Struthio camelus: one gene and its partners. The protein of the gene in region 4 purifies or fractionates together with the protein of the main gene of each other region. This does not show direct contact. Links are inferred from orthologs where the notes say so. Each region holds a gene or a part of one and is shown on either strand. Other genes may lie near its edges.

Region 1 (7,295 bases), on a different chromosome or scaffold from region 4:
CAGCCTGCCAGGGTCCAGTCCTTCCCCCAAACAGGAAGTGGGGAGACCGTGCCAGCCTCTTTCCCAAAACAGGGCCAGGGGCCTGGGCATCTTTCCCTTCCCCCCTACTGGGGACTTACCGCTTTAGGACCAGGTTGAGCAGGTAGGCAACAGCAGCCAGCGACTCGGGAGACTCCACTGCCTCCAGTGTGGTCATCTGGAAACAGAGGAGGAGTGAGAAAGAACATGAGGGTTCGCATCCAGGCCAGCCCCCCCCCAGCCCCACCGCAGCAGCCAGCAAAGCCCAGCAAGCAGAGCGCCAGGAGCAGCCCAGCAGCATCTCTGCTGGTGAAGGACACTGAGGGCCTTTCAGATATGAGCACAGCACCTTCCACCACCAACCCTCCCAAGTGCACAGGTCACCACATGCACATCTGGGCTGCCCACAGCGACTCCCTCCATGCCGCCTTGCCATGACAGTCACTCACCAGGGCAGCAAAGTACTCCGTCTCGCTCTCCTTGCCCCCCTGTGAGCGGATCACCTCCGTCACAGCTGCTAGCACAGCACAGATCTAGGTGAGCAGCAAGAGGAGCAGGTCAGTCCTCTTGGCCTAACGGGCTGCAGTAGAGCCCGACTGTCCGGTGGGCCATCCCCACACACAGCCCTGCTCCTCCCAGTACCTCTTTGTGAGCAGCAGAGTTGGACTCCCAGAACCGCTGCACCTTGCTGAAGGTGACATTGGTGCAGTCGCTCAGTCCACTCAGGAAGGTGCCAGAGGACTTCTCCGTGGCAGCCTCTCCATCATCCTCCTCCTCCATGCGGAGCTGAGCGCTGTCACTCGTCTGCTCCACGTGCAAGGACCCTGACTGCAGCTCATTGTGCAGCTTCACCGCATCCACTGTCAAGTTGCTTTTCTCTGCCAGAGACAAACAGGCATGCTCAGCTAAGTCACGTTGTGCCAGCCTTGTTCTAACACACAGCCTGGAAATCTCTATGTACTCCACCTCTTCTGCCCTCCCAGCCAGATAAACCTTGCTGGAGCTATCTCCAGCATGTGGGACGCGACTGCTGCTTCCACGCTGAAAAGAGGAGACAGAGCAGTAACTCAAGAGAGCTCCTATCGCTGTGACAACAAATCAGAACACAGTCCAGCCATCTCCTCTAACAGAGGAGAGCATTAGACTCTCACAAACACATCTCAGCGTGCCAAGGCTTTAATGGCAAGATGTTCCTCATACCCTGCTCCACCCATCTTCAGCCAGGAGCCCTGGCTGTGCGGTTCGCAGAACAGGAGTCAGTATCCTGTTCCTGACGCTCACTCTCTGCACCAGGTGTCACCGCAGCATTTACAGCCACAGCCTTATGCCTTTGGAAGCCCAAATCATTTCTGTCCCAAAGCTGCTGGGACATTACGAAGTTACTTTGCTGAGAAGCTATGTCTTCTGCCTTGCAGCAGCTCCTGGTGGCTCCAGCTGGGGCCTTGCACTAGGCTCTAGGCAGGGTGACAGATATTGTTGTAGGATGTTCCTCATGCCTACACAGGGAGCACGAGATGCATGTTGCCACTCCAAGCCTGCACATGCAGTGTTATGGTGAAGGTAACAAGGGTAAATCTTGTTCTTTTGTACAGATGATTTTCCTCCTAGTTCTGTGCTTTCTCTTTGCCTCCCAGGGCAGGAGCTTGGCACATGAGCAACTCTCTGCTCTCCTTCTCCAGTCCTGGCGCTAGGGCCTGCCCCAACCCACAGGATCTCAGAAGCCTGAGACCCAAGGTCTCATCCTAAGGCACCAGCCAGGCTCTGGCTGTGCAGAGGAAGACTGAGGACCTCACCCCCTCACACCATGCCCCAGCACCCACCAGCTGAGGCAAGCAGATGGGGTGCTCCGCAGCCAGCCCACCCCTGCACCTCCCAGTGCCAGCCCAGTCCCACCTCCAGCCAGAGGATCACCTCAAGCCCAGGAAGGCTCAGGCAATGCCAGGAGCTGCTACAGATCAGCAAAGGAGCTGCCCACCCCAAAGAGCCGGGCTCCCTCAGCAGGGCTCCGACCCCCACCCACCCCACACAGACCCCTTGCCTCATGCTCGGCCTTCCCATCCCCAGCTTGCAAACAGGTCCAGCCCCGTCCCCGCACCCCAGCCAGCCCCCAAACCCTGACCCCCCCCCCAGCCCCTGATTGCTGCCAGCGCCCGACCCCCACCAGCCCTCCACCCTGACTGCTGCCAGCCCCCGACCCCTGCCAGCCCCCGACCCCTGCCAGCCCCCGACCCCTGTCAGACCCCCACCCCGACCCCTGCCAGCCCCTGACCTCTGCCAGCCCCTGACCCCCGATAGCCCCCCATCCCTGACCCCTGCCAGCCCCCGACCCCTGTCAGACCCCCACCCCGACCCCTGCCAGCCCCTGACCTCTGCCAGCCCCTGACCCCCGATAGCCCCCCACCCCTGACCCCTGCCAGCCCCCGACCCCTGTCAGACCCCCACCCCGACCCCTGCCAGCCCCTGATCTCTGCCAGCCCCTGACCCCCGCCAGTCCCCGACCCCCGATAGCCCCCCACCCCTGACCCCTGCCAGCCCCCGACCCCTGTCAGCCCCCCACCCCGACCCCTGCCAGACCCCCGCCAGCCCCCGACCCCTGTCAGACCCCCAACCCGACCCCTGCCTGCCTCTGACCCCTGCCAGACCCTGACCCTGACCCCCGCCAGTCCCCGACCCCCGATAGCCCCCCATCCCTGACCCCTGCCAGCCCCCGACCCCTGCCAGCCCCTGACCCTGACCCCCGCCAGCCCCCGACCGCTAGGCCCAGGCCCAGGCCCCGGCTGAGCCCCGGCCCCAGCTCCTCACCCGCGGGCCGGCTGCAGAAGCGGCTGCGCGCGGCCAGGCGGTGCCGGCGGGTCTCGGGGTTGCAGTCGCTGCTGTGGCCCTTCCGCCACCGCTTCAGCTTGGCGGCGGCGCCCGAACGGAGCCGCCCGCACCTCGCCATGCTCACCCGGCAACACGTGCCCCCCCCCCCCCGCTCCCGCCCGGCCCGGCCGCACGCCCACTTCCGGCGCCCGGCACCATCTTAAGTGAGGGCAGGGTGCCCACAGGGCTGTGGCGACGCCTTTGGGGTGGGCGGGGGAGCGGCGCCTGCCAAGCCAAGCTGAGCAGGGTGGCGCCCGGTTACCGCTTGGGTGGGAGACCAAAGGGGACGAAGAGAGCCAGAGCTGCGGCAGCCTCCGGAGAAGCGCGGGCCGTGCAGTTTGGGACCAGGATGGGGGCTGGTGTGGCGCATGCAAGCTCTGCCTGGTTTGCATGGGCTGGAGACAGGATAGTCTTGTATCAGTGTCCTGGGGAGCTGGATGGGGCACAGCCTCTTGTTCTGCCACCTTTAACAAAGGCCTCCTCATCTGGCTTTGGGCACTGAGGCTTTCTGGACCCCAAAGGCTAGTGGCCCCGTACTCCCTCAACGTGCACCCAGAGGAGCAGCTGGTGCAGTGGTTCTTGCCCAGCCCAGCAGCATGGCTGCCTGCCCACCCAGCAAAGGCACAGTGCCCCGGTCATCTGGGGTCCCTGTCCCCCTGGGCTCCAGCCTCCTCCTGGATGTGGGATGGGAACCGGGAGTCCAGACCCACTTCACTCCCTGTCTCTCACCCATTAGACCCTACTCTATTCCTAGAGTTAGAGTAGGAGAGCCCTGCCACAAGGGGGTTTTACTGCTTTTTTGCTCTCCCCATTGCTCTGCTCCTGCCCTCTCCATCCCTGCCCTGGCTGCCAGGAGCTGAGCAAGCACCACATGCAGCATGAGATTTTCCACAAGGAGCTGTACAAGTACAACCAGATGAGACAGTCTCAGTGCAGCATCCGCAAGGACATTGCAAGCCCCTGGCTCCCAAGCGGAGCCCCGTGTGTGCAGAGCCTGTGGCTGGGCCTGGAGTGCAGCCAGCCACCCCCCCGGCAGCAGCATCTGCCTGAACCTGCAGGCAGCCCGGGGCAGCAGCCTGCACAGAGCTGCTCCAGCCACCCTGAGCAGCCACCTCGTGAGGGTGAGTCAGGCCGGGAGGCAGCACCAGAGTAGAGGCGCCGCTACTCTGCGCACTACGGCTGCCGGGTGCGCCGCGTGCCCGACATTACGGCGGCGGCGGCGGCGACGTCACGACCGCCGAAGGTCGCACCGCCCTTCGCGGGCTCGCCATGCGCTACGTGCGCCTTTGGCGGCCGCCGCGGCGCGCAGGCGCGCCCTCAGCCGGCGACGGGAGGGGCCGCCACAGCGGCGCGCGAGCGCGCATGCGCGGGCCGCGGCGGGGCGGGGGCTCCTCAGTCGCGCGCGGCGGCGGGAGCGGAAGGAGCGCGTGCGGTGAGCGGAGCGCCTCGAGCCCAACGGTCCTAACGGTCCTAGCTGCCCCGCCATGGCTGCCTACCGCCTCGTGCTTGTCCGCCACGGCGAGAGCGCCTGGAACCTGGAGAACCGCTTCAGCGGCTGGTACGACGCCGACCTCAGCCCCGCCGGCCAGCAAGAGGCGCAGCGCGGCGGCGAGGCCCTCCGAGGTGAGGGCGCCGGGGGGCGGCAGCCGCCCCTGCCGGTAGCGGCGGCCGGCGGGGCGCGGTGCGGTGAATCTCTGCCGGGCGGGGTGGCGCACCGATGAGTCACCGCCCCCGCCGCCAGGCCGCGCCACTCGTCCCGGTACTCGGCGGGGGTCGGCCGGGCCGGGGGCTGGTGCTCGGTCGGTGCCTGTGCGAGCGGCGAGGTCGCCTAAGAGCTGGGGTCGGGCAGGGCTGCGGCGGGGCCGGTGCGCCCCGGTAGAGGGGGCGGTGCTGGGGGTGGGGGGGCAGGGAGCGGGAGGATGGGAGCCCTCGGTGCCGGCTCCGGGCCCCGGCCCCTGGCTCGGCGACACCGGCGCTGGGCGGAGCCGGCTCCTGCGCTGACGCTGCGGGGGAGGCTGGTAAATCCCCGCGGAGGTGGCGAGCGCTAGCCCGTGCCTGCCCCCGCCCTCGGTGCCTGCAGCATCCCCTGCGCACCCTCGGCCCTGCCGAGGCTGGGGTTTGCCAGGCGCTGGGGCGGAAGGCCCTGGCTGCTTGGACCGTCAGCCCTCTGGTTACGTAAGCGCCATGTCCTTCCACTCCAGCAAGCTGCTGCTGTGCCACTGACAGGCGCAGCTCGACTGTGTGGTGGGGTGTGCACGTGGCGCAGGTATGCGGGGCTGCGCTGGCGGGCACGAGTGGGGAGCCTCATCCTCTAGACTTACTGGCTTGAGGTGCACATCCTCTTTCTGGCCTGATGGCACGAGCCATGGGCTCTTCCATCAAATGTACTTTAGCTTTTTTTCCTGACTTTGGATGCTTCCAGGTCACAGAGAAAAAGGGCTAGGAGTTTTCCAGAGCTTGCTCACTGCAGTTGAATGCAAAGAGCACTGGCTGTGCATGGAGTAGTGAGCTGAATGACTGAAACAACAGTTCAGCTTTCACAGCAGCAAGGGTGGGAGTGCTGGCCTGGTGCCTGGGTGAGAGATGCTGCTCTTTCCTGCCTTTGCCGTGTGGTGCTGCGCTCTGATGTCTGTGGCTCTGATCTTTTTCAGATGCTGGCTATGAATTCGACATCTGCTTCACCTCTGTGCAGAAACGGGCGATCCGCACCCTCTGGATCGTTCTGGATGCCATTGACCAGATGTGGCTGCCTGTGGTCCGGACCTGGCGCCTCAATGAGAGGCACTACGGAGGGCTCACTGGCCTAAACAAGGCTGAAACAGCTGCTAAGCATGGAGAGGCCCAGGTGAAGATCTGGAGGCGCTCATATGACATCCCCCCACCTCCCATGCAGCCAGATCACCCCTTCTACAGCACCATCAGCAAGGTAAGGCATGTTTTCCCAGGCTGCTGCCTCCTTTCCTTGGCCTAGGAGCCTTTGAGCTAAAAGCAGCCTGGAGGGTACTCGGAGCCCTGTGGCTGGTCCTCTTCTCAGAAAGGGAGCTGCCGGTGCTGGATCTGACTTCCTTTGTGGGGCATTCTTGGTACTGCCCTTTGTTCCTCTGCACCTCTACCTCTGTGGTGGTGTCTGTCACTGTAACGTGGTGATGGATGGCGTTGAGCTCAGTTCACCCTGTGCTGTCCCTGAGGAGATTGAACCCTTGGGCGTTGCACAGACTGATTCAAGGGGATTCGTGTTAATTATTAGTCCCATGACCAATGCTTGGATGTTTGCTGTGCATAGAGACTAGAGTGTGTGAAGTGCTGTCTTCCCTAGGCCTAGCTGAGTGCAGTCTCAAAGTTTACCTCAAAGACGTTTCCTAGCCTGCAGTGCCCCTGTCCTGTTTGCTCTCTGGTCACACCAACGGTGACCCTGATGGTGTGTAGCTGCAAGCCCAGCTTTGCTTTTACATAGGTCCTTGGGCAGAGTGCTGGTGAATAAGGGCCCTGCTATCACTTCCTCCAGCTGCTTTGCCAGCTGGTATTGCCTCTGAGCCCCTGACTGATAGATGCACAGCAGCGGCCAGGGATTTTGGGCTGCTGTGTGACAGTGGCTCTTCCGGCAGGACCGTCGCTATGCTGACCTGACAGAGGACCAGTTGCCAACATGTGAGAGCCTGAAGGACACCATTGCCCGGGCCCTGCCCTTCTGGAATGAAGAAATAGTCCCACAGATCAAAGAGGGAAAGCGAGTCCTTATTGCTGCCCATGGCAACAGCTTGCGTGGGATTGTCAAGCACCTGGAAGGTATGTCAGCCCTGCGTGGCTCCCCACTGCTCCGGCCCTGCCCCAGGACCGTGTGAGCAGGGAGCTCTCCCTTGCATGGCCTGTGGCTGTGCTTGGTTCCCTGAGAGTGACTGTGCCTCTGTTCATAGGCTTGTCGGAAGAGGCCATCATGGAGCTGAACCTGCCCACTGGGATCCCTATTGTCTATGAACTGGACAAGAACCTGAAACCCATCAAGCCCATGCAGTTCCTGGGGGATGAGGAGACAGTGCGCAAGGCCATGGAGGCTGTCGCTGCTCAGGGCAAGGCCAAGAAGTGAGGGCAGATGTGCAGGCTAGCGAGTAGTAGATGAGTCCCCCTCCCTCCCCCACCCATTTGTGCATACACCCCACAGCTGTAGGAACTTGGAGCTGCAGAGCTGGAGCAGGGAGCAGCTCCCCAGGACTAGGCCCGTTCCCTCTGGACCAGGCTCCCCTCTGCAGAGAGCCTGGGAGCCCATGGTCTTGAGCTGGTGCAAGGAAGTCTGGTGCAAAAGGGAGCCCTGACCTCTGCCAGGCAATAACTGCACACGTCTCTGCATCATGAGATCTCAGCCCTCAGGCCTTTATCTGCAGGGGGTGCTCCAAGCATTCCCTCCTCCTGCCTGGCTC
Region 2 (7,922 bases), on a different chromosome or scaffold from region 4:
GGTTAAAGCTTTACAGAGATACAAAGGTTAGGAACACTCATGGGTATCCATGCGCTGACAAAGCTGTCCTCTTCAGCAGGGCTTCCGTTTAGATTACATTACTTTCGACAAACGTGCATCAAAGCTGCTCCTCCAAAAATTCCTCCAGACCGACTATTGAAGCATCAGTCTCATCTTGAAAGGACAGCAAAGAAACATTTTTCCTAAAAGCCTAAATTACATTTAACAGAACCAATTAAGCCAACAAAAATGAAAACATTCTGAGTTTGTTTTAAGGTATTCTGGTTTCAAACCAAATGCAGCAATCGGACCTCCTTTTGACCTGACTGCAGCACATCATGTAAAAACTATTCAGTACTCTGAGCATCCCAGGTAATTCTCAAAACGTGCATGAACATTAATGGTTACAAGAGAACTACTTTAATCGAATACAGAATGCTTTTTCATTAGCCAACACGAGCACCCCAGAACTAGAATGCGGCTCCTTTATCGCTAGGTAAAGCGCATGCTCATTTGTGCGAGTTGTGCCAGATGAAGATGGCACCACCCTCAACTGTGTCACTGCCCCACATTGCTTGCTATTTGCAGCTCCTGGATGCAGGAGGGGTCAGAGGAGCTCTCCCTAAAATTCCCCTCTGCTAAGGCTGCTTCCTCCCCTCCCCCGGAGGGTCTGCAAAGGCCAGGACCCACGGGTAGCCGGCAGCTCTGCCCCCACACTGCTGCAGTGGAAGGAGACACCACTGTAGGAGCTGAAAGACTTCACACAACTGCGCTGCACTGAAGTTTTATGAATTCCTCTTTGCTATCCCAGGATTTCCTGGAAGAGATTGATGAGAGAGAACACATCTGAAGCAACAAAAGCAGAAAATGGTCCACCAGGACTTGTCTGGCTTTAAGTGTTCAATGCCACAGTCCCATACAAACTGTGTACTTGGGGTTTTTTTTGCCACCAAGAGTGAAACAGGAAGCTTCACATGCTGAAAAGGGGCCAGCAACATCTAGTGCTTCATACAGTCCTGCTTTTCTCACTGGGAAACACCACTGACAACAATTAGCGCAGAATCTCATCCATCTGAAATGCATGGATTTCAACTGTCCCTGTAAGGCACTAATATAATTACATTTCTGATTCAGAAACCCACATTCAGCTAACCAAACCTCAGAGCAGGCATAGTAAGCCATTAGCAATTACACTTCTCAGAACACATTTAATAATACTTCCAATGCACCTTAATTATCATTAAATGCTAACAATATGCTGGCCCTGGCTGAAAGCAAAAGATAAGATCTACACTAAAGATTAAGGAATGAAAAATAACCTGACTCTTACACAAATCCCTCACTATACTGAATATTTTAGCTAAAAAAAATATTTAAGGAAAACAGAATTCCACTGTGCATGCTATGAAGGAATCTATTCACAATTAGCACATGCTTATGTCAGTTGAACATAAAATACATCACTGACAGATAAAATAACTCAGCTAATCCAAAAGCATTTCAGGGCTTCAAATAAAATCCTGTTCTGTACCGTATTTTTCAGACGACCCCAAAGATCCTAGGATAAAAGGCACCATTACTTTACAGCGTCTGACTACAGCATTTCAGAACACCTAGTTAAGAGCTTGCGTTCCTTGTCCTGGCAGCGAAAAGGCACCTTGAAAAAGCAAGTCAGGATCGCCCTCAAAATTAAACACCAACGCTTCCTGAAGGAAGATCACAAAAACTAACTTATAACACTATCCGCAGAAGAGAAGGAAGGCGATCAAACAAAGCAACTAAAATAAATCAAGTCGGGGCTTTAAAAGGATTTGCTAAATATTCAGATGTGCGCTGCCTGGCTTCACGCGCTCCCGGTTCGCCGCAACCTCCTGCGAGCGGCTGGAGCCCTATTCGCCAACCAACTGCTGGGGTTCAGCCGTGCAAATCCCGGGAGCCGCTCGCGCACCCCTTGCGCCAGGGCACGCGTCTCGCAGGCCGGGCTCCTCGCCGGGGCTCAGGCGAGGGAGGCCGCAGCAGCTCTGATTAACTTTGAAGAGGAACTATTGCAGCTAAATACTGTGAAACCAAAACCTTCAGACTTGCCACGCTGGGGTCACAACGTGGTTTTTCTTTTTTTTCCCCTCCTCTCCACGTGAGTCAAATAATGTATATTTCAAAACTAAGGTGATCAGCTCAAAAAAAGCAAAGGTGTTTCTCAACCTGTTTCATTTACAAGTTCTTAACGGCGCTATATGTTTTGGTATTCGTGAACGGCGCCTCAGCTAAACGCTGCAGTGGAAGCCGATTTAACTCTCATCGGTAATTTCCTAATCACAATTAAGAGCGGGGCAGTCCGCCCTTGCGCGCTTTCCGGGCCAAACTTACTGCGAAGTTTCAAGGCGCCGCGTTTACCCAGCGAATACCGAAACTGCCTTTCACCGGATCGCGCAGAAAAAACCCGCGAGGCGCCGGCCCGGCCGGGGAGCGGCGGCGGCGGCGAGGCCGAGCCGAGGCTCCCCGCCGCCGCCCCGCGGGGCCGCCCGCCTCCCGCCGCTAAATCATCGCCGCCGAGGCCGCGGACAGGCTCAGCCCGCCGGCAGCACCGGGGCCAGCACCGGGGGGAGGGGGAAGGCCGCCCGGCGCCGCCCTCGGGCCGCGCCGCCGTAACCTTCAGGCCAGGCCGCGGCGCGGCGGCTCCCCCGGAAGGTCACGGCGGTGCCTTTCACCCGCCGCCGCCGGCGGAACCTTCCAGAGCGCCGAGCCCCCCCCCGCCGCCCCCGGATTTGCTGTGTCAGCCCGTCCCCTCCCGCCCGCCCGCCCGCGCGGCGTGCGCGGCCTGTCACCACATGGCCCCGCCGGGCCCGGCCCCGCCGCGCCCTCACCTCCACGAACAGCAACATCCCGCCGCCCGCGCCGAGGCCGGCGGGCCCGGGACCCGCGCCGCGCTCCCCGCCGCCGCTGCTGCTGCTGCTGCTGCTGCCCGGCGGCGGCGGCCGCGCCAGCGCCAGCAGTGATAAGGACGCTCGGGCTCCGCCTCCGGCTGTGCCGCCAGGGCCCGGCCCCCCGCCCGCCGCCGCCGCCGCCGCCGCCGCCGCCGCCTCTTCCGGGGCACGCCGAGCGCTTCCGGGGCCGCGCCGGCCGGCCGCTTCCGGCGGGGGCGGGGCGGGAGGCCGGCCCGGGGGGGAGGGGGCGAGCGAACCATCGCCAGAGAGAGGAGGGGGAGGAGCCGCCCCCCACCCCCGCGGCTCGGAATGGGCTGCGCCGGCCGCCGCGCGCCCGCGGCCGCTCTGACAGGAACGGCCGTTAACGGCTGCGGGCGGCCGTTAACGGCTGCGGGCGGCCCCGCAGCGGGGACGCGAGTGTCAGCGAAGCGGGCAAGATTAAGATATATTTCTGGGTTTTTTTTTTTTCCCCAACACTCTACTGCCCGTTGAAGGCACCAGCCTAAGGCGAGGGAGGAGTCCCCGGATTTCTCGCAGAAGCCGGAGGTGCAGCCTTGGCTTCGCGCCCACCGCGCCGGCCGCCTCTTTTCGCCGATCTCTGTTGGCTTCTGTCCCTCCGCGGCCTCTAGGTGTCATTGTTGAATAGCGCAAAGGTGAAGTGGCTGTTCCCTGAAATACAATATAACGGGACCTGCACCCGTCCTGCCCCTCCCACCCCCCTTTCCGCGCCGCACGCAGGCACCCTCTGCGGCATTTGCGTGGTTAAACCGATGGGGTGATTCCAGGATACAGACGTTATCTGAGGAGAAGACCCGCGCAAGCACGTTCGGGATGGGATGGGCTGCGCCCCGCATTTGCGGCATGCCTTTCCTTGCCAAGTGCAGAGACCATGTGTACCAGACCCCCACGGACGGGGAAGGGTCTGCGACAGCTGCCAGGGCTCCCACCACCAGGGACGGGGTGGGGGAACACTGGGGACAGGAGGGAAACCTCGGCTCCAGCCAGACATGTCACAGGACACAGGATTTCCTCCAGACAGTTCCAATATAGAAAGGGCATAAATCCACTGATGTCTTTCAGTAGCTTTGTAAATCTAGGCCAAAGAGCGTAAAATCAGTTCATCTACACAGGAGGGACTCAGTAGAGCCCACTGGAACTTGAACCTCCAATGCTAGGCATTGCACGTTTAATATTAACGTTGCAGAGCCATCAAATTAAAGCATCGGACTGAGAGACAAAGGACCAGATCTCACCTACTGAAAGCATCAAACACACTGGGAATCGCAGACAGCTCACACGTGGCGTTACGCAGGGCCACGTGGGGTTGCATTGGAGAATGGTGCCGTGAAGGGGATTTCCGCAGGGGAAAAAACACCTTGAAACCATTTTGCTTTAGCACAACAGAGAAAGGACATGGAAAGATTCCACGGAAATTATACAGCAAATTTAAGAGGTTTTGGGTTGTCTGGGGATTTTAGATGATCAAGAAATACTCTGTTAAGGAAGTAATACATTTTGTAATGGATGTTCGGGTGAAGGATACCGTTTTGGAGCCTTCACAGACAATGCTCCTACACTGCCACTTGCCCAGCAAGGGAACCCAGACCCTGCTTAACAGTATTACCTGCAATTATGGTCTAGCCAATGGCAGTGTTTAAGTTACAGCCAGTGAAGTAATCAAGGTCCATCAAAGAGATTAGAAACTGTAGCACAAGCTGTACTATAAATTGATGGTCCAGCTGGCAGATTCTGCAGGAGTTTCCCTGAACAGCATCTCCAAGACATACACATAAGAATGAAAGAAAGCAAGTTAGAGTAAAAGAATAAATAACTTGGAGCAAAGTAAACGGGAAGTGACCCATTGCAGTCTGTGGGATCAGCGTGAAACCCTTCTTTCTGTCCTGTCGATGCCAGGGGCGCTCTGAATATAAACTGCGAGGGACAGTATGAGAGCAAACCACCTTCAGAGCCTTATTTATTATGACATTTAGAGAGAGACCTTGTTTCTGGTAGTTACAGGATGGAATTGGGAACCTGTTCCTCATGCTCATTTACTTCATCCACCAGATGTAATAAGACTTAGCACTTTTCATCTTCAAAGCACTTTGCAAACATTAACTCATTAATCCTTATGCCCCCTGTGAAGCAGTTAAGTATTATCCTGTTTTACAGAGCTCTTTACCTCCAGAATCTGCTCATTAATTTTTAGTGCACCCATTGCCTTATACTGAGATATCAAACCAATGGAGAAATTGTCGCACAAAGCAGTTATGAGCCTTATTTTCAGACATGCTGAATACCTGGATATCCTACAGGAGCTCAGGACCTTTGAAATCGGGCCCTGATGTGATGCAAATCATTGTTAATGCTCAGATTAGATCATTTTCCTGAAGCTGGTGCTGCGCTGCTCCTGCGAGATCACCTCATTTAGTTGAAATGCCTGGCCAATAAAGTGGTCGGTGTGCTGTGGACATCAGTCAGGATATTTCCAATTTTGGCAGAGTTCTTACAGACTGTAACCACACTGGCTTTAAAGTGCAGATGGGGTGGAAAAACAGCCAATCTGTACAGCTACTAAATAATTCATTTTTTATAACAATAATTTTGTCTGTCTTCTAAGGGTGCAGAAGCAATACAATTCAGGGTATAGTACATGCTATGATCAGATAAGGTTCTATACATATCTAGAAGGCAAATACAAACAGTTTTGTGCTAACACCATGGTCAAGTTTCTTTCCTGTTAGTCACCATCTACTGTTCCCTTACAGGAGGGTGGTGAGGCAAAGTTTTTCTTGAAGTCCATCCAGCACTGTCATGGAGTCTGCTGTCTGGCTCACCTTTCTTCTCCCAAAGGCCTTCTCTTGACAGTTGCTTTTGGAACTGCAGCAGAAACAATTGCAACTTCTGTCCATAATGTCCCAGAGCAGAATGAACGTGATGTATATACTGAAATATGAAGCAGCGTTGTGAGAACAAATGGCATGGTACAAAGCTCCTTTTTTACAGCAATCGTTTGCTCAGCTTTGTGGAGTCAGGCTATAGAGTTTTATTATATGTCAAAGTATCTGATTATTAGAGTGGGCACCAACAGAAAAAAAAAAGTTGAAATTTAGATTTCCTGCCCCCTAACTTTATTCTGCTATATTTACTTTCGCTTGCTTTAGGGTGCGCCTTTTGAATTTGCCATTTATTCCCCAGTAGAAGACGGCGATCCAACAGCACCCTGGATCTCAAGCATATCCTGTCTGCTACTCTAGAGCAGGAACATCCCAGTGGTCAGGACGGGGCAGGAGGAAGATGAGGAGTGTGACACATATGTCTGCAACGCTAAGCAAAGCCTTTCCCCGTCTTCAAAGCCAACAGGACATTTTCAGCACCGGCTGATTTCGCAAGAGGAAACTCCACCTCAAAGCAATGCTGAGGGCACAGCATCAGGAATTTGTCCTTCAGAGGCCAAAAGTTGAATGCTATAACCACCAGGCAGACCCAAAAATACAAAACCTATTCTGACTAGCTATTGTAGTCTGAGGGCCTGGAGCAGCTACACTGGCAACAAGATTAATTACTGCTGGGTGTGAGCTGGAACCACACACCCAGTAGTCCTGAGGTTTAGGTTACTCCCTAGCAAAGTAGGAAATGTTGATCTTTCCCAGACTTGCGCTAAGGCAAGGATTCAGTTTCCTTTTTCCTAATATTTTACATCTGTTCTACCTGCACCTGAATGGTCCTTAGCTTCAACCAGGTAGCTGAGTACAAACATCAAGCCCTGTGCAAGACAAGAATATAACGCGCTCTCCCTGGCTCTGATGAAGTCCCTGCACCGCAAAAGCTTTACCCGCCTGTTAAAATAAACACCAGGCCTATCTGAGGAGTATGAAGTTAGACCTTGGGACAGGGACTATGTTCTGGATTCCCTGAACCATAGTGTGCTGCCTTGTGCCTGCAAGCCTCTGAGTGAAATTAGAGCTGATGCCAGCACAGCTAAGCCACCTTTTGGCCCCAGTGTTTTGTTCAAAGGCAGAAGGTGCTAAATTTTGTCTGGTTATTACACCCCTGCTGTCATCACCATTATCGGTGAGGAATAAATATTGACAAACACTGAATAAATATTGAGCTGGCAGCATTATCTCTGCCCCAGCTCCGTGTGTGCAGTCCTTCTGGACAGCCAGCGTGCCTCCAGCAATCGCAGAGGAGCCGCTGGGATTACAGAGTGTTCCCAAAATGGAGGGCTGCAGACACTAGCTGGGTCTCCTTGGTGGCTTGGTAAATATGCCAGAAAAGGCTGGCCTCAACAGGCCTGTTGGAAACATCTGGCTTTAATTCTTCTTTAAAGCCATGACATTCATTTGGACACTAAACCACTTTCCTTTCATCTATCTGGAGGACTAACCCTGTGGCAGAGCAGCTGACTTTCTGACTGCCTTTACAGGGTGCTGACTTTCATTATCCTGCAGGAAGAAAGAGGTCATGGGAGAGCCAGGGCTGCCCTCATTGCAGGAGGAGAGATCTCAGGAGAGGGCGGCAGCTCACAACTGACGCTTTTTCCTGCTCTTCTCCCTCTCTAGAGTTCATTTTTTTCAAGTCATTTCAAGGCATAATATATTCCTCTGTCAGCACGTCTCAAAGGGGCTCAGAGTCCAGCTTAGAGCTGTGTTCCTTATTAATTCACTCGACTCTGGCAACTAACAGCATTTGAGGACTAGATATAGGTGACACTGTCCTAAGAAGACAGGAGAGTGCCTCTATGCTGAAGGGAGAAGCTATGTCTGTTTAGAAACCCCTTAGCTGAGGAGGCTGAAGCCTTTTGTATGGGCTGGCATGGTAGGAAGGAGGCTGGGGGAATCAGGAATAGAAGTAGAGGCAGAGGAGTAAAAAGTTTCATCAGCAACCCTTGAATGACAATTCTGATATCAATAAATACCAAGCCTAGCAAGGAGACTATGTTTTGAACTCTAAAATGTGCTATTATACAGTAGAAGAGGCCCAAGGCAAGAACAC
Region 3 (6,857 bases), on a different chromosome or scaffold from region 4:
AAATAAAAATAAAACAAAACAATGACTGTTATTTGCCTGGCTGAAATAACGTGGACTGAACAGATAAGCGAAGCTGAACTTTAGGACGCAGCCCTGTATTTCTAAACAAGAAAACTAAAATAAGACGCTTCTGTCATCTAAAGAGCATTTAGTTAGGTTCATCTTTACATGATCAGGGTGTCTGTGCACATGCATACACTCATTTTATCCTATGCCAAGTCCATACTGAGCTAATAAATGCTTTGCTAGATAAAGGTGAGCTCAGACTACAGTACAAGCAAGTATTTCTGGGCCTGACTGGCTACAGGACATTCAACAAATTTATTCTAAATTGTTTATTTTCCACAGTCCAACTTCACCTCTGTAACACCCCAAAATGATTATCCTGTGTTTACTAGTGTGTTCTGATCAAGGATGCTCTGAAATTACTTTTCAGGCAAGGAAGAAAATTAACAGAGAGGTTCAAATCTTAAAAACGAAAACAAAACAAAAAACAAAACCAAAAAACCATTCATAGCTACAAAATGGTTAACAACGCGAATTAGAACAGACATGTTAAAGTAGCTTTACACTGCAACAGCTTTAGCTTGAATATTTAAGCATCCCTTTGCACTTCTGCACATTCGAAAACGTCCAAAAAGCAGCTCCAAAATATCCCAAACACCTTTGCAGCAAATACCCTCAAATTAATGGAAGAACCTGGATTCCAGCCTTGGTTCCTCGAAGAGGCAAAAATCATCTCCATCGTCCCAAAGTTTTGTTGAACATTTCCTATTTCCACCAAGTTGAGACTTGTTTGAATGGCGGCTGCTGCTGCCTCCTCCTCTCCCTCCTCCTCCTCCTCTTCCTTTTCCTCTTCCTCCTCCTCTGTTGGGCTTTCCTCTCCTCTTCCCTGCTGAACTCATGTTGTCTTGCTGGAGAAGAAAATAATGCCGCTCAGTTATGAGGATGATTTAGCGTGCCACAAGGGACTTGGTACATGCTACTTCAGTTGTTTTTTCCATATGACAAGAGGGGATTCCCTCTCAAACTGCAGTTAACTACCTACCCGTTCTCATTATTTGTACACCCTTGAAGTAAAATACGTTCTTCCAGAACGTTGTTAAACAAATTCAGCTTAAAAAACAAAAGGGATCCTATTTTCCCTCACAGCTTTTCTAAGCAAGAAGCGCAGGGCCTCTGAAAAAATACTGAGCCTAGCAGCACTGCTGTCCAGCCCTGGAACTCCAGTTCTGTCTCCCTGATGGGATTTCCTTGGATACAGGTGAGCAAAGGACTAAACTTTGGGGGGACCTTCACAGAGGAGAGCACGGTGCGCCCTGCCACTTTTCCACTCCGGAGTTTGCAGGGCTGGGAGCGAAAGGTCAAGGGAAGTTGAAGTCAGAAATCCAATGTGTTTCCACATCAGCCTGCTCCTGACCCATTCCCCCTCTGCACGAGGCTGCCCAGATGGATGAATGCTCAGTGGAGCCCGGGGCAGAGGAGACGATTATGGACCTTTTCCAGAAAACAGGGACCCTCCTCTCCTTCCCACAGCGGGATCTTCAGCGGCATTGACGTAACAGGCCCCTACGTTTAAAGCCATCATTGCAAGCGACAACAGAACGGCACAACACTAACGTCTGCCCCAGCTGCATACTGACTGCACTACGCTCCTGCAAAAAGGAAGCTGTGCGGGCACAGGCGAGCAGCTCCGGGCGGTCCGGCAGGGCTTACTACCCAGATCTTTGCATTGGGGTCGCCAGAGCTAGGACAAGGACTAACGGAGCCATGAATGAGCAACAGCTCAAATGAGGGCTCCGAGAGTGGCAACAGCTCTAGACTTGGAAAGAAGCAAACCTCCTTTTTGTAGCAGCTCTCTGCGCTGGCGATCAACCAGGACTAGGCAGGATTTTAACAGAGGAGTGGACTCCACTCAGGGCCTGAACGTGCACACAGCAGCCTGGTGCAACTGAGGGGGACTGTGGGCAGCATGTCCTACTGCAGCTAGTCACAGGCACTGCAGCGGTCCCCAGGGACGCTGCCAGGTAGGGTTGGGGGTCTCCTTCCCCTCGATGCACAGCACAGAGCCCACGGCAAAGCACAGCACCACTCCCCACACCGGGGGCACCCTGTCTCGTGACCCCTCCACAGACTCCAGCGTCCCCCTGTGTTCACCAGGGACCACAGCCTCACCCACCTCCTTGGGCTGTCTGACCACCCTGTGCTGCTGAGGGCCGCCCCGGGGGCCCACCCAGCCCTGTGGCCGAATGCTGCCCTCCGTGGGCCCAGGAGCCTCCTTCCTCCTCCCACCCATACCCCACAGGGGCCGCCACGCTTGTCCCCCCAACCGCCTTCCTAGCCCCTGACACCCTGGGGATCCCCAACACCTCCCCCCCCAACAGTGCCGGCCCTCCTTCCTGCCCCAGACCCACTGGGGACCCCCAACGCCTCCCTCCACCCCCCAGGGACCCTGCTGCACACCCCCTCAATCCCGGCCCTCCTTCCTCCCCCAGACCCACTGGGGACCCCCAACACCTCCCTCCACCCCCCAGGGACCCTGCTGCACACCCCCCCCCATCCCGGCCCTCCTTCCTCCCCCAGACCCACTGGGGACCCCCAACACCTCCCTCCACCCCCCAGGGACCCTGCTGCACACCCCCTCAATCCCGGCCCTCCTTCCTCCCCCAGACCCACTGGGGATCCCCAACACCTCCCTCCACCCCCCAGGGACCCTGCTGCACACCCCCCACTCTTAACCTCCCCCCCCTTCCTGCCCCCTGGGGATCCCCAACACCTCCCTCCACCCCCCCCACTCCCCACCCCCCTTCCTGCCCCAGACCCCTCTGGGGACCCCCAACGCCTCCCTCCATTCCCCCCCCCCCGAGACCCCGCTGCAGCCCCCTCCCCACTCCTGGCGGGGCCCACAAACGCTCCCGGGGGCCGATGGTTGCCTCCGCCCTCCCTCCCTACCTCTCGGGCCGGCTCGGCCCCGGCCGGCTGACCCGGAAGCGCCCGCGCTGCCCTTCCGGGTCGCCGAGCTCCCTAGCAACCGCCCACACTTCCGCCTAGCAACCATGGCCGGTAACAACCCCCCCCCCCCCAAAAAAAAAACAAAAAAAACCAAAAAACCACCCTATTAGTTAAACAAGGAAAAATCAGCAGTTGGGACAGAGCTTGGTCTGCTTTGCCTTTGTGCCTGTCCGGTCCTCCCGCCGAGGGGAGGGCGGGAGGGTCACCGCAGTGATGGCCGCCTTCCCTTCGCCGGCAGGCGCGGCGCTTTTCAAGGTGTCCTTCGTCTTCCCCAACAAGGACACGTACGGTAAGGGCTCCGGCGGGGCGGCGGCGGCGGCGGCGCTCACGGCCTCGGCCGTCCGCCCGCTCCCTCCTTCGCACCTCGTGTCCGCAGAGGGCGAGTGCGCGAGGACGGGCGAGGGCGCGCTGCGCAGGAGCGGCCACGGCGTGCACACCAGCCCCGGCGGCCTCACCTACGTGGGCCGCTGGCAGAACGACAAGGTGGGTCCCGAAGGGTCCTCGCGGCGGACGCGTTCCCCCCGGGCGCGTGGCGAAGCGGGAGGCAGCCGGCGCCCCCGAGGAGAGGAGCGACGCCTCAGCTCCGCCGCCCGGAAAGGGAAGCCCGCGGGCGTCCGGCGGCTTGCGACATCCCGCCGCCTCCGGAGCTGAAGGCCGCCGGCGGCGTCGAGCCGGAGCCGGAGCCCGCCGGGCGGCCTCCCACGGCGCGGCTCACCCGCTGCGAAAGCGCCGCTCGGGTGGGCCGCCGCGGGTTAGGCAGGGCCTCGCCGCCTCGGCGCGGGCGCACCTCCCGGAACGAAACAGGGGAGCGCTGGTCTGGAGGAGACACGCCGTCGCTGGGTTCGCCAGGAATTAATCAGCAAGGACTGGAAACTCGTTGGGTTTTGCTGGTGTCGGAGAGGAGACAGCCCTGGAACGAGACAAACAAGGGTTTGAAATTAGGAAACGGTGTCCTGCGGCTGTTTTAGATCCAGTCTGCCCTTTTCTTCAGTCTCTTACAAAAACGTTTGCGCAGCAGTAAGAGTTAAGATTATGGTACAAATGAGCTGTAAAGGATTTAAATCCCAAGGGATGGCTTCGTGGCCTAGGGTGAACAAGCGAAAGGCTCACTCTGCCTTGATCCACCGAAAGAAATGCTGGAAAACTTAATGAGCCCCTCAGGCTGTCAGGGTAGGTGAGTTATTTGTAGGGCTGGAGACAGCAGTTCCCTGGCTGCGTAAATTCTGAAGATCCTGTGACATTGCCATCAGAGGAAGGGTTTACTGGGCACTGGGGTTGGCCAAAAACTTCTAAGCTGTATCTGAAGTCCCTGTAGAAGCAGGAACTGACTAAGTTTGAAAGAACAGTCACTGTCCTCTCCGTTTATCTGAGTATGATAGCAGACTCAGGTTTCAGTTATCTGGAAGAATACTGTAGTGAAAGGAAATAATACTGTAAACATAAACATTAACCCTCCTTTTCTTTATCCTCCAACTCTCATTAAACGCAGATGAATGGCACAGGAAGGCTGGAACATCCTTCGGGGGCAGTTTATGAAGGCGAGTTCAAAGACAACATGTTTCATGGAGTAGGAACCTACACATTTCCAAATGGAGCAAAGTACATTGGACCGTTCAATGAAAACAAGTAGGTTTAAAGTTGAAAAGAGTCACACAGTCTCTTCCGTTAGTTTCAAATTGTAAGGTTTAAAGGCCAACTAACATTGATCCAGCACAGGAGTCGATTTTTTTTTTTTTTTTTTTTTTGGTACCAGGAAATTTGCACCGGTCTCTGAGTGCAATGATCTCAGTTGTATGCTTTTCGTCAGATCAGTCAAAAATCCATGATGCTCTCCCAGTCAGAAGTTTTCAAGACAGTTATCCCATCCACCCACCTTTTATTTTGTTACCAAGTCTTTGGGCTTGCACGCAGTTCAGAGGAACAGAACAGTTCAGATCCATTTCAGAGTTAGTGTTTCAAGCTGTCTGCCTGCAGACTCATAAAGAAATATAGTGTTGATTTGTGCTGACAGTTGCTTGTGAAGTTTTTTGTTTACTTACTTTTGAGATAAAGTAAAAATCCCATAGAGATGGGAAAATTTGGAGGCTTATTTTTATCACTCGGAAGCAAAAGTTTTAAGGACTCTCATATAAAGCAGCAGCTGAGTTCATTTCTGTTGAGTAAGCGTGTGTGTGTGTATGTTTTGAAGTGCTAAGATACCATCTTCTCCTAAAACAAAAAGCTGATACCCACTTTATAATCCACAAGACAGATCTAATGAGAAAGCTAACTGTAAAAAATGACATCAGGGTGTTCATGTTTATTCTCATCAAATGACTTCTCTGTCAAATTTGCTAGGTTCAATTTAGGTTTAAGTCCCTCCCTAGTCCCACATGTGAAATCAATCTAAAATGTGTATGTGTTGGCAATAGCTAGTCTTTCACCAGAAAACAGCCCGATCTTGCCCTGCTGAATAGCCCACAGCAGTACTAGAAGCATGACCAATTCTGCTTTTAAATGACCAGACACCAAATTCAATACATGTTAGCAGAACGTAGTTGGATACAAAATGGAAACCTGTATAATCTCAAACTGTTGTTTGAGGAAAAAGACATTTACTTCAATGCTTCAGAACACATCTAGTTCAATTAAATAATGCCACTATTACAGTGGCATGTTAACATCTGCTAAAGACCTTCTGTCTTTGCTGTCACATTAAATGCCATCTGACCTCTGCATGAGTACTAGAATCGTAAATAACCATCACTTTGAGCATATTCATCAAGAGATCACATACGTAGCTTTACAGGCATTTTCTCTCAAGAAAATTAGGGTGACGCCCCTGTTCTCGTGGGAAAAATACAGCCCAGCACAGAAGGGCCAGCACAGTACTTGTCACTAGTAGCTGACCTGCAGAGCAAAACAGCGGGTGCTGATTCAAACTTGTGATCTAAATTAAAATGCGGATGCAGACATACCCTGCTTTGCAGCAGAGACCCCATCTTTACCTGCACTGCCATTTTCCTCAGGGAATCAAAATTTTTTCTTTGTTGACATTGATTTGTGATCGTTAATACGCGCTGCATCCCGACAGCCTAATGTTGGCTGTTCAGCCAAGTTTCAGGTCTGCTAGTTTCCACCTACTCGCACAAGATAGGTGTCAGTTCACCAGATCACTGCAGTTTTTATGGGAGAACGATATAGGCAGCACCATAGCAACGAGCTCTGACTGCTAGGTGGATTTATTTTTTAAGGGAAACAAATCTCCAATAATTGGTTTTAAAAGTTATTTTTTCCTCATTTGCAAGGGATATTGCTGCATAGACATTTCTTCTTTGTAGCGGTTTTCAGGTATTATTATGAGTTTGATCACAGCTTTCAAAGATCAGCAGAAATACATGCCTTTTAAGAAGTGAAATCACATGGCAGTTACATTTTTTTCCCCACAGGAGGCTGTAAATCCCTGCACTTTGTCATAATGCCACTTAGAGAGTGCTGGAGAAAGAGTAAGAGTAGATGATTTTTACAGCAATAATATCACACAGTAAATGGCTGCATACAGGTATACACTTTTAGGATGCCCCTAATGAAAGTCAGGATAAACTTCACAAGACTTGAGCCTCAGTGACCTCAAATCATGACCAGGACTATGACACTATTCCTGTACAGGCTACATGCTGGGAAGATGCTGGTGTAAATACACTTCTGCAAAGCAAAGGAAGGAATATATAGCTTGGCTGTCTAACCTGTGTGCTTCATAAGTCTTCCTAGTTTGTAAGTCAAAACTTTTACGGGCTACCATGTAGGAAGAAAGTTAAGGCAGGTACTTTAGTCTAGACTGGGAAGTTTCTGCTTCCTGGTAATTC
Region 4 (7,862 bases):
CAGAGGCAGCCCGGCTTGTTCCCTTTTCCTGCAGAAACGCGAGTAAGAGCAATCGGAAACCTCGACTCTCTGGGGGCAACAGACCCAGGGGAGACTCCTCCGGTTGGCGCTGGGTCACGCCAAATTGCACTGACATGCAAAGCCCCATTTGCTCCCTGCAGGGAGGACCCGATGCTGCGGCGACTGCCTGCAGGGACAGCGGGGCTGTGTGCGCTCCCTCGGCCGATTTGGGGCCCTTGCTCACAACTGGAGCCACGTTTAGGGTCCGGGATAGTAGCTGCTACAAAAGGTGTTTTCTTGCCACGGCTCACCATGCTGCAAATGAAGGAAAAGGGATGCAGCTCTCCCACGTTTGTTCACTTGCTAAATTAGTCCAGGCGGGACAAATCCCATGTGGCTGCCCCCAACCGCACCAAGGAAAACACCTGTGTTTGCTCTGGAGACACCCGTGCCCCTTGGCCAGCGCTCGCCGTGCTGCCCAGCCCCGACGGCCGCCGCTTTCCCACGGGGCTCGCGCAGACCCGGGGCTCTCGGAGAAGGGAGCCAGCGCGTTCGGCGCAGCCACGTTTCCAAGCAAGCCCGACGTCTCCCTCCCGCGCTGCCCAGTGCTTGCCCGATGGCCCCGATTTGGGCACCGTCTTCCAGCCCGTTTCCCCAGCTCCCCCCGACTCGGGTCTCAGCTGCTGCAGGCAGCACCTTCACCCCCGAAGCGGCAATTCCCCTTAGCGCAGGGGCAGGATCACAGAGCAGATGCGCGCGGGGCTTCTCTGCTCAGAAAGGTGCTTGCAGCTCAACCCCGACACAAGACCGTCACTACTATATGCTACTATATGTTATATGCATTAGATAGAAACTATAGGGGCACGTGTGCGACCCCACGTGCCTTTGTGCCAGCCGCAGCTGGGGCGACCACAGCTAGGAAGTGCCCCTCCATCCCCATACAGGGGAGCAGGGCAAGTTTCCAGCAGGACTTTTGTCCCCCAAGAGCGCAGCACGGGGACCGAGCACACGTCACCGCGTTAAAGACCATTTTGTTCCTCTAATTCCCAGGGCCAGCGTCCCAGGGCCCCGAGCAGAGTCAAATCCCCCCTCGAGGATGAGCCACCAGCTGGGGAAAGTCCCATCTCTCCTGCCTGCCCGGCTCAGGGCTCCCAGGATCTCGCACCCAATGCTGGGGGGGGGGGGGGGGGAGAACAGACAGCTCTTTCCCCTTGCCAGCATCCCCCCTCCAGCATGTGCCGCTCACCCTCTTCTCAAGCCGCTGGGCACCTGCTCCCCCCGGATCAGGGCCCCTCGCCCCGCTCTAAAGGGCTCCCCAGGGAACCATGATGAGAAAATGAAATCGCTCCGGGATCAGTTTACAGGGCCGGTCCCTGGAGATGAGACCCGGGCTGCGGAGGGGCGACCGCTGTCCCTGCCCTCCCTCTCTCATCAGGCTGAGAGAGAGGCAGGGGCTGGGGGGGGGAAGCCCCAAGCCTGAGGGGTCCCCAGCTCCCCCGGGGGATGCTGGCATGGGGGGGGCAGTTGCCTCCTACGGAGGCAGCATAGGGGTCCCCATCCTGACCGGCATCCCCTGGGGGTGCCAGGGGCTGCACCCCCTTTCCTCCCCCCGGGCAGGAGCCGTCCCCGCTGCCGCGTACCTGGTGCACGAAGACATCGACAGGGGAGTCCAGCGTCGCGCCGCCCTTGGCGGTCATGGAGAGGAACCCGAAGCCCATGCGGACGTTGAACCACTTACAGATGCCGGAGCCGTGCAGCAGCTGGGGCTCGTTCTCAGCCTTGGGCGAGTCTCCCGCCGGCTCCTCGCCCGTCTTCGCACCTGGGGACAGACCCATGAACCGGCTGAGCTGAGGGGCCGGGGGAGCTGAGGGTCCCCGCCAGCTGCCCCATCCAGGCCCCGGGACCCCCGAGCCTCCCCTCGCAGCACGGCTGCTGCCTGCCTGCCCCGGAGCCCCAGGGAGCCGGCAGCGGGGGGAGCGAGCACCCCTGGAGGGGCCAAATCCTGCTCGGGTCCTGCAGGCTGGCATGCAGGGAAAAGGCACCCCGCCCCATCCCCAAAACAGAGAGATCAGCTCTGCCTCCGTGTGCGCGCAGGGATCGCTCCAGGAGCCCGAGGAGAGGAGAGCAGCTCCTTTCGGCACGACCCGGGCAGTGCCGGGCTGGCAGCCCCTAAGTCCATCCCTCCCTCCCCAAAAAACCCCCACAAACAAACAAACAAAGCACAAAAAAGGAAAATCTCCCCCAAAATACCAACCCGAAATCACCCCGTCCCCAGCAGACCACGCTGGAGAAAGTAGCTCTATTCCCCCCTCCCAAATCAGCAGCCATCCGGGCACAGCAGGAGCCCCCGGTTCAAAACCGACCCCGGCATCCAGGGTCAGCCCCAAACTTCTGGGCTCATCCTGGGACGGGGAGGGGGGGGAAGGAAAAAACAAAACAAAACCCCCAAAAGCCCAAAGCGCAGCCCTAGAGCTGAGGCAGCAGGGCGCAGGGCGCCGGCCTCGCTGGCAGGGCGCAGCGGGCCCAAGCGGGCCGGGCTGCGCGGGGGCCCTGCGGCCGGGCCGCGATGGGGTTATTAATAATCGCGGAGCCGAGGCGGGCTGCGACAATAATATAACTTAACCTGCAAACTGCTGGTTGGAAACAGACCCCATCCCGACACTCGCTTGCAAATTCCGAGCTGTGGCTGTTACCGCCTCCTCCCTCCTCCTCCTCGGCCAGCTTTGAGGGTATCAGCCCAGCCAAAAAAAAAAAAAAAAAAAAAAAAAGAAACCAACAAAAAAAAAACCACAGCTTAGACCCCGACAGGAGGGAGCCGGGAGAGGTTTGACTCCATCTTCACTCCAACAATAGGGGTGGGAGGGAGCGGGAGGGTTTTTTCAAAGGCTCCCAAATTCTCGGAGACAATAGCGGCCCCCGCCGCCCCCGCCCGCCTCGCAACACCCCGGCACCCACCCGCGGGGCCGGGGGGCGCGGGGCCCCCCTCCGCCATCCCGCCGCGCCGGCCCTGCGCCGCCCGCCCCGCCGCTCCGCGGGTTCGAGCCCGCCCGGGGGGCGCCCGCCCTCCCCCCCCACGTGACCCTAATTAACCCCCCCCCCCTCCGCGTTAATAGCGATACATTCCGGGAGGGATTTGGGGAGGGGGAGGTTCTCCCCCCCCCCCCGCTGCTCCAATCAGGGCGAGGCCACCTGTCAAGCCGAAGAAATGACCCCCCCCCCCCGATGCGCTAAGGCCGTGGGACCCCCCGGGGGGGGGGGGGGACGGAGTTTCCCCCTCATTTCTCCACGCTTCCCCCCACCCCCGCGCAAGCGAAGCCACCTGCGACCCGGGGGTCCCCGGGGACACCCGCCGGGGTTGGCCCGGGACAACCGGGCCGATCCTGCCCTGGCAGCCGGGCACCCGCGGGCCCTTCGCCCCCGGGGGGGAGAGGGAAAAAAAAAAAAAACCCAAACGGGTGGGAAAAACTCGCAGGTCCGCGGGGGGCTGCGGCCGCTTGCCGGCGGCGGGGCCGTGCGCTCCGTCGGGCCGGGCCCCCCGCGGACCTGAGCTCACCCCGGTGCTGCGCCCCCAGCCCTCCTCGGGCCGGGCAGCCCTCGGGGCCCGCGACTGCGGCCGGGGGTGGCGGGGCCCCCGCGGGGCCGCGGGCCGCTGCCCCCCCGCGCCGGGCGGGGACAAAGGGCGAGTGACCAGCGCCTCCATTTCCGGTGGCCAGTGCGGAGCGGACAATGCCCCGCTCGCCATCCGGCCGGGCCCGGCGGCGGAGGGACAGCGCCGCCCGCCGCCGCCGCCCCGGCCCGGCCCGGCCCGCAGCGCGCTGCGCCCACGCCGCCGGGCGGGTGGTGGCGACGCGTGGGCTGCCCCCACGGCGACACCACCCAGCACCGCCCCTCCAAGCCAAGCAGGGGCAAACGGGGAGAGTCCCCTCCACCCCCGCAAACGCCCCGTGGGGAGCCGTATCTGCGCTGCCCCGGCGTTGCCCCACGCGGGACTCCCAGCCGCGTGGGCCCCGTTTCTCCGGCGAGCAGCGGGGCACACCCTGCTTGCTAGGTTGGGCACTCTAGGGGGGCGGCGGGACCACCCTGCCCACCCCCTCCTCCGGGCCCCCGATCCCGCGTGGGGACCCCCGCGCGGCGTGGGGGCGCCGCCCGCCCCGGCGTCCGCGCCGCCGGCCCTGGCCATGGTGCTGAAGCGCCGCCGCTCCCTGTCCAGGGTTCTGGGGGCTCCCGCCCTTCCTCCTCCTCCTCCTCCTCCTCCTCCTCCTGGCCCGCACAGCCATCGGGGGCAGGACGGACCCGCCGAGCCCCCCCGCGGCTCGGCCTCCCCCCTTCCCTTCCCGGCAGAGCTGAGAGGCTTCGCCGCGCTCCGACAAGTGAGGTTTGGGGCCAAAAAGGAGCAGCCGGATTTTTATTTTTGTTTTTCATTTTTTCTTTCCCTGTGTCTGCAGCCCTGGGAAAAAAACGGGGGGGGGGGGGGGGGGGCTGCGACCTGCCACAGCGGAGATGAACCAGAGAGAGATACTTGTGGAGACAGGAATTGCCTGTTATCAGCACTCAGCAGGGCTAATAATGGTTCAGGGAAGTTCTCGGGTTGTCCCTGCGCTTTGGGCCGATGCCACGGGGACGGGCGGGGCAGCGGGAGCTGCCAAACCTCCCGATTCAGCACACCAGCCGCAAGGCAACCCCCCCACGAGGGTTCGCGGGGGCGACGAGGACGCGTCCGTCGGGCGCGCCAACGAGCCCCCCCGCCCCCCCATTCTCATTCTGCGCGGTCCGGACACTAATGACTTCTGGTTATTACCGAGCAGTGACGCGGGCCGAGGCTCCCGGTGGCACCGGCCCCTGCGGCGCCGCCTCGGCCCGAGCGGAGCCCGCTGCGCCCCCGGGCTCCCCCCGGCCCCGGCTGGAGGCTCCCGCCGGCCCGGCCCGGCCCGGGGAGCGGCGGGCGCCGCGCTGCCTCTGGCACCCTCTCCCGGCCACGCAGCGGCAGGCCAGCCTCGGGTTCGTCCTCCTTTTGCTGGCTTGCTTGGGATAATTTGGAGGAAAGAAGAAAGAAAGAGAGGAGAGGAGAAAAAAAAAAAATTGAGGGAGACGCTTCTGTGTCTTTTCCTCCCATCTCTCCTTTCCTGTTTCCTCCTCTTCGCTCTTTCCTGCCGGGCAATTTCAGTTGTGCCACACACACCGTCTGCACAATTTGCTCCTGCGCTTTGCTCCTGTTTCACCCCTGGAAGCAGTAAAGCGAAAAAGCCCGCAAGCAAGCCCAGACCCCAGGGGGGGATAACAGGCAACTCCCCCCCCCCACCGTGTTTGTGGGGCTGGGATCAAGGTTTTCCGAGCAGCCCTGAGAAGCATCCCCCACAGCTCTGCACCTTCTGCCACCAGTGGAGGTGACACCGAAACGCCAGCGGCTGCAGGAAGCCCGCCTGGGGACGGACCCCGCCGTGGACGGAGGGCATCCTGGGGCAGGCAGGACATCCTGTAACGCAGAGGGCAGACGGAGGTGGGCAGAGCTGCAGAGCAGCCGGGCGGCTCGCTTGGGAAGGATGTGGCAAGGAATCAGTCCTCGCTTTCTGTGAAACTAATCCTTTGGAAAATAATCCAGCATTGTGCATCGACTTCCTCCCTCCAGCCACTTCCCGTCTTCTCGCAGCTGATCAGGCGCAGGGCCCGGCAGCCCCAGATGCCTCTTTCCTGCAATTCTGTTCAAACTTGGCGGCAAGTTTCTCAACGGCCGCCGATTTGTGCCCGGTCGCCGTGACCGGCTCTTTCTATAACAGCGCCGCAGCCCTGAGCACGGCAGCTTCCCCGTTACAATAAAACCTGGCACTGCCGAGCCCCTGCGACACAGCCCGCAGCAGAGCCAGCCCAGCCCCGCGTAATATTTGTGTGTGTGGCGTATTTGTTTTCGGGGCCTGTTGAATGGCGAACGTGAAAGGGAAGGGGAGTCCTTCCTGTTCTTTCAGAGCCCGTCGCTGCGCTCTGCTCTGCTTCAAGGGAACAGCCAGCAAAGCGGCCGCTTTCACAAATAATGGCTTCATTAGATTGAAAGAAGTGGACAGTGACCTCTCCGAAATGGACTTTCTGACCCCTGCTGACCTTTCGCCCTCGCTCTGACAGCCTGTAAATCTTCCCCCTCGCGGCAAGGCCGGGGCGAGCAAAGCGAGCGCCCCGCCGGAGCGCGGTGCGCCCGTCCCGCTCCCTGCCCGCGCCGGCGCGAGCCCAGCTGCCCGGCGGGGCGGGTGCCCGACGCGCTGCTGCCCGGGGGTCCCGGCCCGCTCTGCCCGGCTGCGGGCAGGGGTCTCCCCGCTCCCAGCGGGATCAGGGCCTGGCAGCGCGTACAACCCGGGTGCACGGCTGGGCGAGCCACAGCTTTGGCCAAAACGGGGACTGGTGTCCTCTTTTCCCCCGCAAGCCAGAGCTGGGACGGGCTCAGGGGAGCAGGAGGGACCTGGGCACTGGGGAACGGGGTTATCAGCGCGCCACGGGCCCAGGAGCCCCTTGGTGGGGGTCTCGCCCTGGCGATCACCGGCTCCGCGCACCGGGAAGGTGCAGCACAGCTCACCGCGCGCGCTGCCCGCCCGCCCGCAGGCTCGCGTGGGGCACGTCAGCCCCTGGGGCTCCTGCAGCTCCTGTCACAGGGCAGACGTGGCCTGATCTGCAGATGGGGAAACTGAGGCATGCTGGGGCTGCACGCTGGGAGCCCCGAGCGTAAGGCAAACCGGTCGACGCGCGGGGCTGGGAGAGGGGGAAGACGGGCCGATGCCTGTGCTGGGCTCCCTGCTCTGGCTCAGCTCTCCGGGCTCCCCCATCTCCCAGCCTGGCACCCATCCCCTGGGCTCTGGTCCCCGGCCGCCAGCCCCGCGCTCCCCAGCGCCTCCCTCCTCCCCAGCCCGTGCAGGGACGCCGCTGACCTTTGGCTACGGAGCAATCAATAACGGAGGCCGCGGAGCCGCTCCTCCCCCCTGCCCTTCCCCCTGCTCCCCCAGTGCCCGCTGCACCGCTCAGCGCCTCTAATGAGCCCCGGCCGTGATTGAGGAACTGTCAGGTACCCCCGGCCGCGGGGTAAACGGGGCCGGGGGCTGCATCGACCCGCCGGAGACACAGGTGTGTTCCCGGGACCGCCGCCACCACCGGGAACCCCCTTCCCCACGCCGCCCTGCACACGCTCCCCGGCACCCGCCGGCGGCTCGGTCCCCCCGGCCCCCGCGTTCGGGGACACGCAGCTCGTCCCCGCCGCGGGCACCGGAGCGCGTCCCCTCCTGCCGCGATCGGGAGCGACGCTCCCCGGGGGCATCGGCTCTTTGTGAGCGAAAGTCGAGGAGGGCGAGGAGCAGGGATTACCGCTGCTGTCTGCCTTCCAACGTGCTTCGCTGCTTTTCTGCGATTTCACTGCATTTTTTTGGACAAGCTGGGAAGATGAGAAATGCGGCGAGGGAGATGATCGCAGCCGGGAAGGATGGGTCGTGCCCAAACTCAGCCTCTCCCCTTTGCATTCCCAGCTCCCTCCGATGACAGCCCTCGGCCAGCAGCGGCTGATTGATTGGCTGGAGAGCGGGGATTGATCAGGATTTCGGCCCCATGCATATTCCTGCTATCTGATAAAGGGAAATCGATAGCTGAAAGAGATATTCCTCGGAGGCCGGCCTCTCCGGAGGCAGCAACCTCGAGCAGATCAAGGCTTGCAAGCCTTTCCTCGCCCCCTAGATCCCCCCAGCCCGGTTCAAGCCCTGCTCCCCCCAATGACAAACCCATGCAGCAGGGCAGGAAAGAGCCGAGGGGCAGGAGAGGGGGCCGGGCTGGCACCGGGGGGACGCAGAGGGGCCGGGGAGAGGGGACAAAGCCTCTGCTCCTGGGTCTCACCTCCC

Evidence for each region.
Region 1: the proteins of LIN28A (region 4) and RRP12 purify together in Homo sapiens (affinity purification with mass spectrometry; 3 studies listed by BioGRID and IntAct, with this or other methods). This does not show direct contact. The link is inferred for Struthio camelus from reciprocal best matches to the Homo sapiens genes LIN28A and RRP12.
Region 2: the proteins of LIN28A (region 4) and LARP4 purify together in Homo sapiens (affinity purification with mass spectrometry; 3 studies listed by BioGRID and IntAct, with this or other methods). This does not show direct contact. The link is inferred for Struthio camelus from reciprocal best matches to the Homo sapiens genes LIN28A and LARP4.
Region 3: the proteins of LIN28A (region 4) and DHX57 purify together in Homo sapiens (affinity purification with mass spectrometry; 3 studies listed by BioGRID and IntAct, with this or other methods). This does not show direct contact. The link is inferred for Struthio camelus from reciprocal best matches to the Homo sapiens genes LIN28A and DHX57.

Annotation. Positions count from the first base shown.
Region 1 is NC_090948.1:16,970,214-16,977,508, forward strand, and holds the start of RRP12 (RRP12-like protein), read right to left. Parts: upstream 3,007-7,295; 5' UTR 2,960-3,006; coding exon 2,821-2,959; intron 897-2,820; coding exon 661-896; intron 552-660; coding exon 468-551; intron 197-467; coding exon 120-196; intron 1-119. Other genes in the region: PGAM1 (phosphoglycerate mutase 1), read left to right, coding at 4,365-4,503, 5,532-5,806, 6,486-6,666, 6,795-6,964.
Region 2 is NC_090969.1:1,409,060-1,416,981, forward strand, and holds the start of LARP4 (la-related protein 4), read right to left. Parts: upstream 3,014-7,922; 5' UTR 2,883-3,013; coding exon 2,865-2,882; intron 2,508-2,864; exon of another isoform or gene 2,368-2,507; intron 1-2,367. UniProt on the Homo sapiens protein: RNA binding protein that binds to the poly-A tract of mRNA molecules. Associates with the 40S ribosomal subunit and with polysomes. Plays a role in the regulation of mRNA translation.
Region 3 is NC_090944.1:139,719,671-139,726,527, reverse strand, and holds the start of DHX57 (putative ATP-dependent RNA helicase DHX57), read right to left. Parts: upstream 3,010-6,857; 5' UTR 2,953-3,009; intron 2,277-2,952; exon of another isoform or gene 1,840-2,276; intron 915-1,839; 5' UTR 906-914; coding exon 700-905; intron 1-699. Other genes in the region: MORN2 (MORN repeat-containing protein 2), read left to right, coding at 3,226-3,301, 3,389-3,495, 4,502-4,638. UniProt on the Homo sapiens protein: Probable ATP-binding RNA helicase.
Region 4 is NC_090964.1:7,062,443-7,070,304, forward strand, and holds the start of LIN28A (protein lin-28 homolog A), read right to left. Parts: upstream 3,009-7,862; 5' UTR 2,993-3,008; coding exon 2,956-2,992; intron 2,858-2,955; exon of another isoform or gene 2,655-2,857; coding exon of another isoform or gene 2,624-2,654; intron 1,820-2,623; coding exon 1,641-1,819; intron 1-1,640. UniProt on the Homo sapiens protein: RNA-binding protein that inhibits processing of pre-let-7 miRNAs and regulates translation of mRNAs that control developmental timing, pluripotency and metabolism.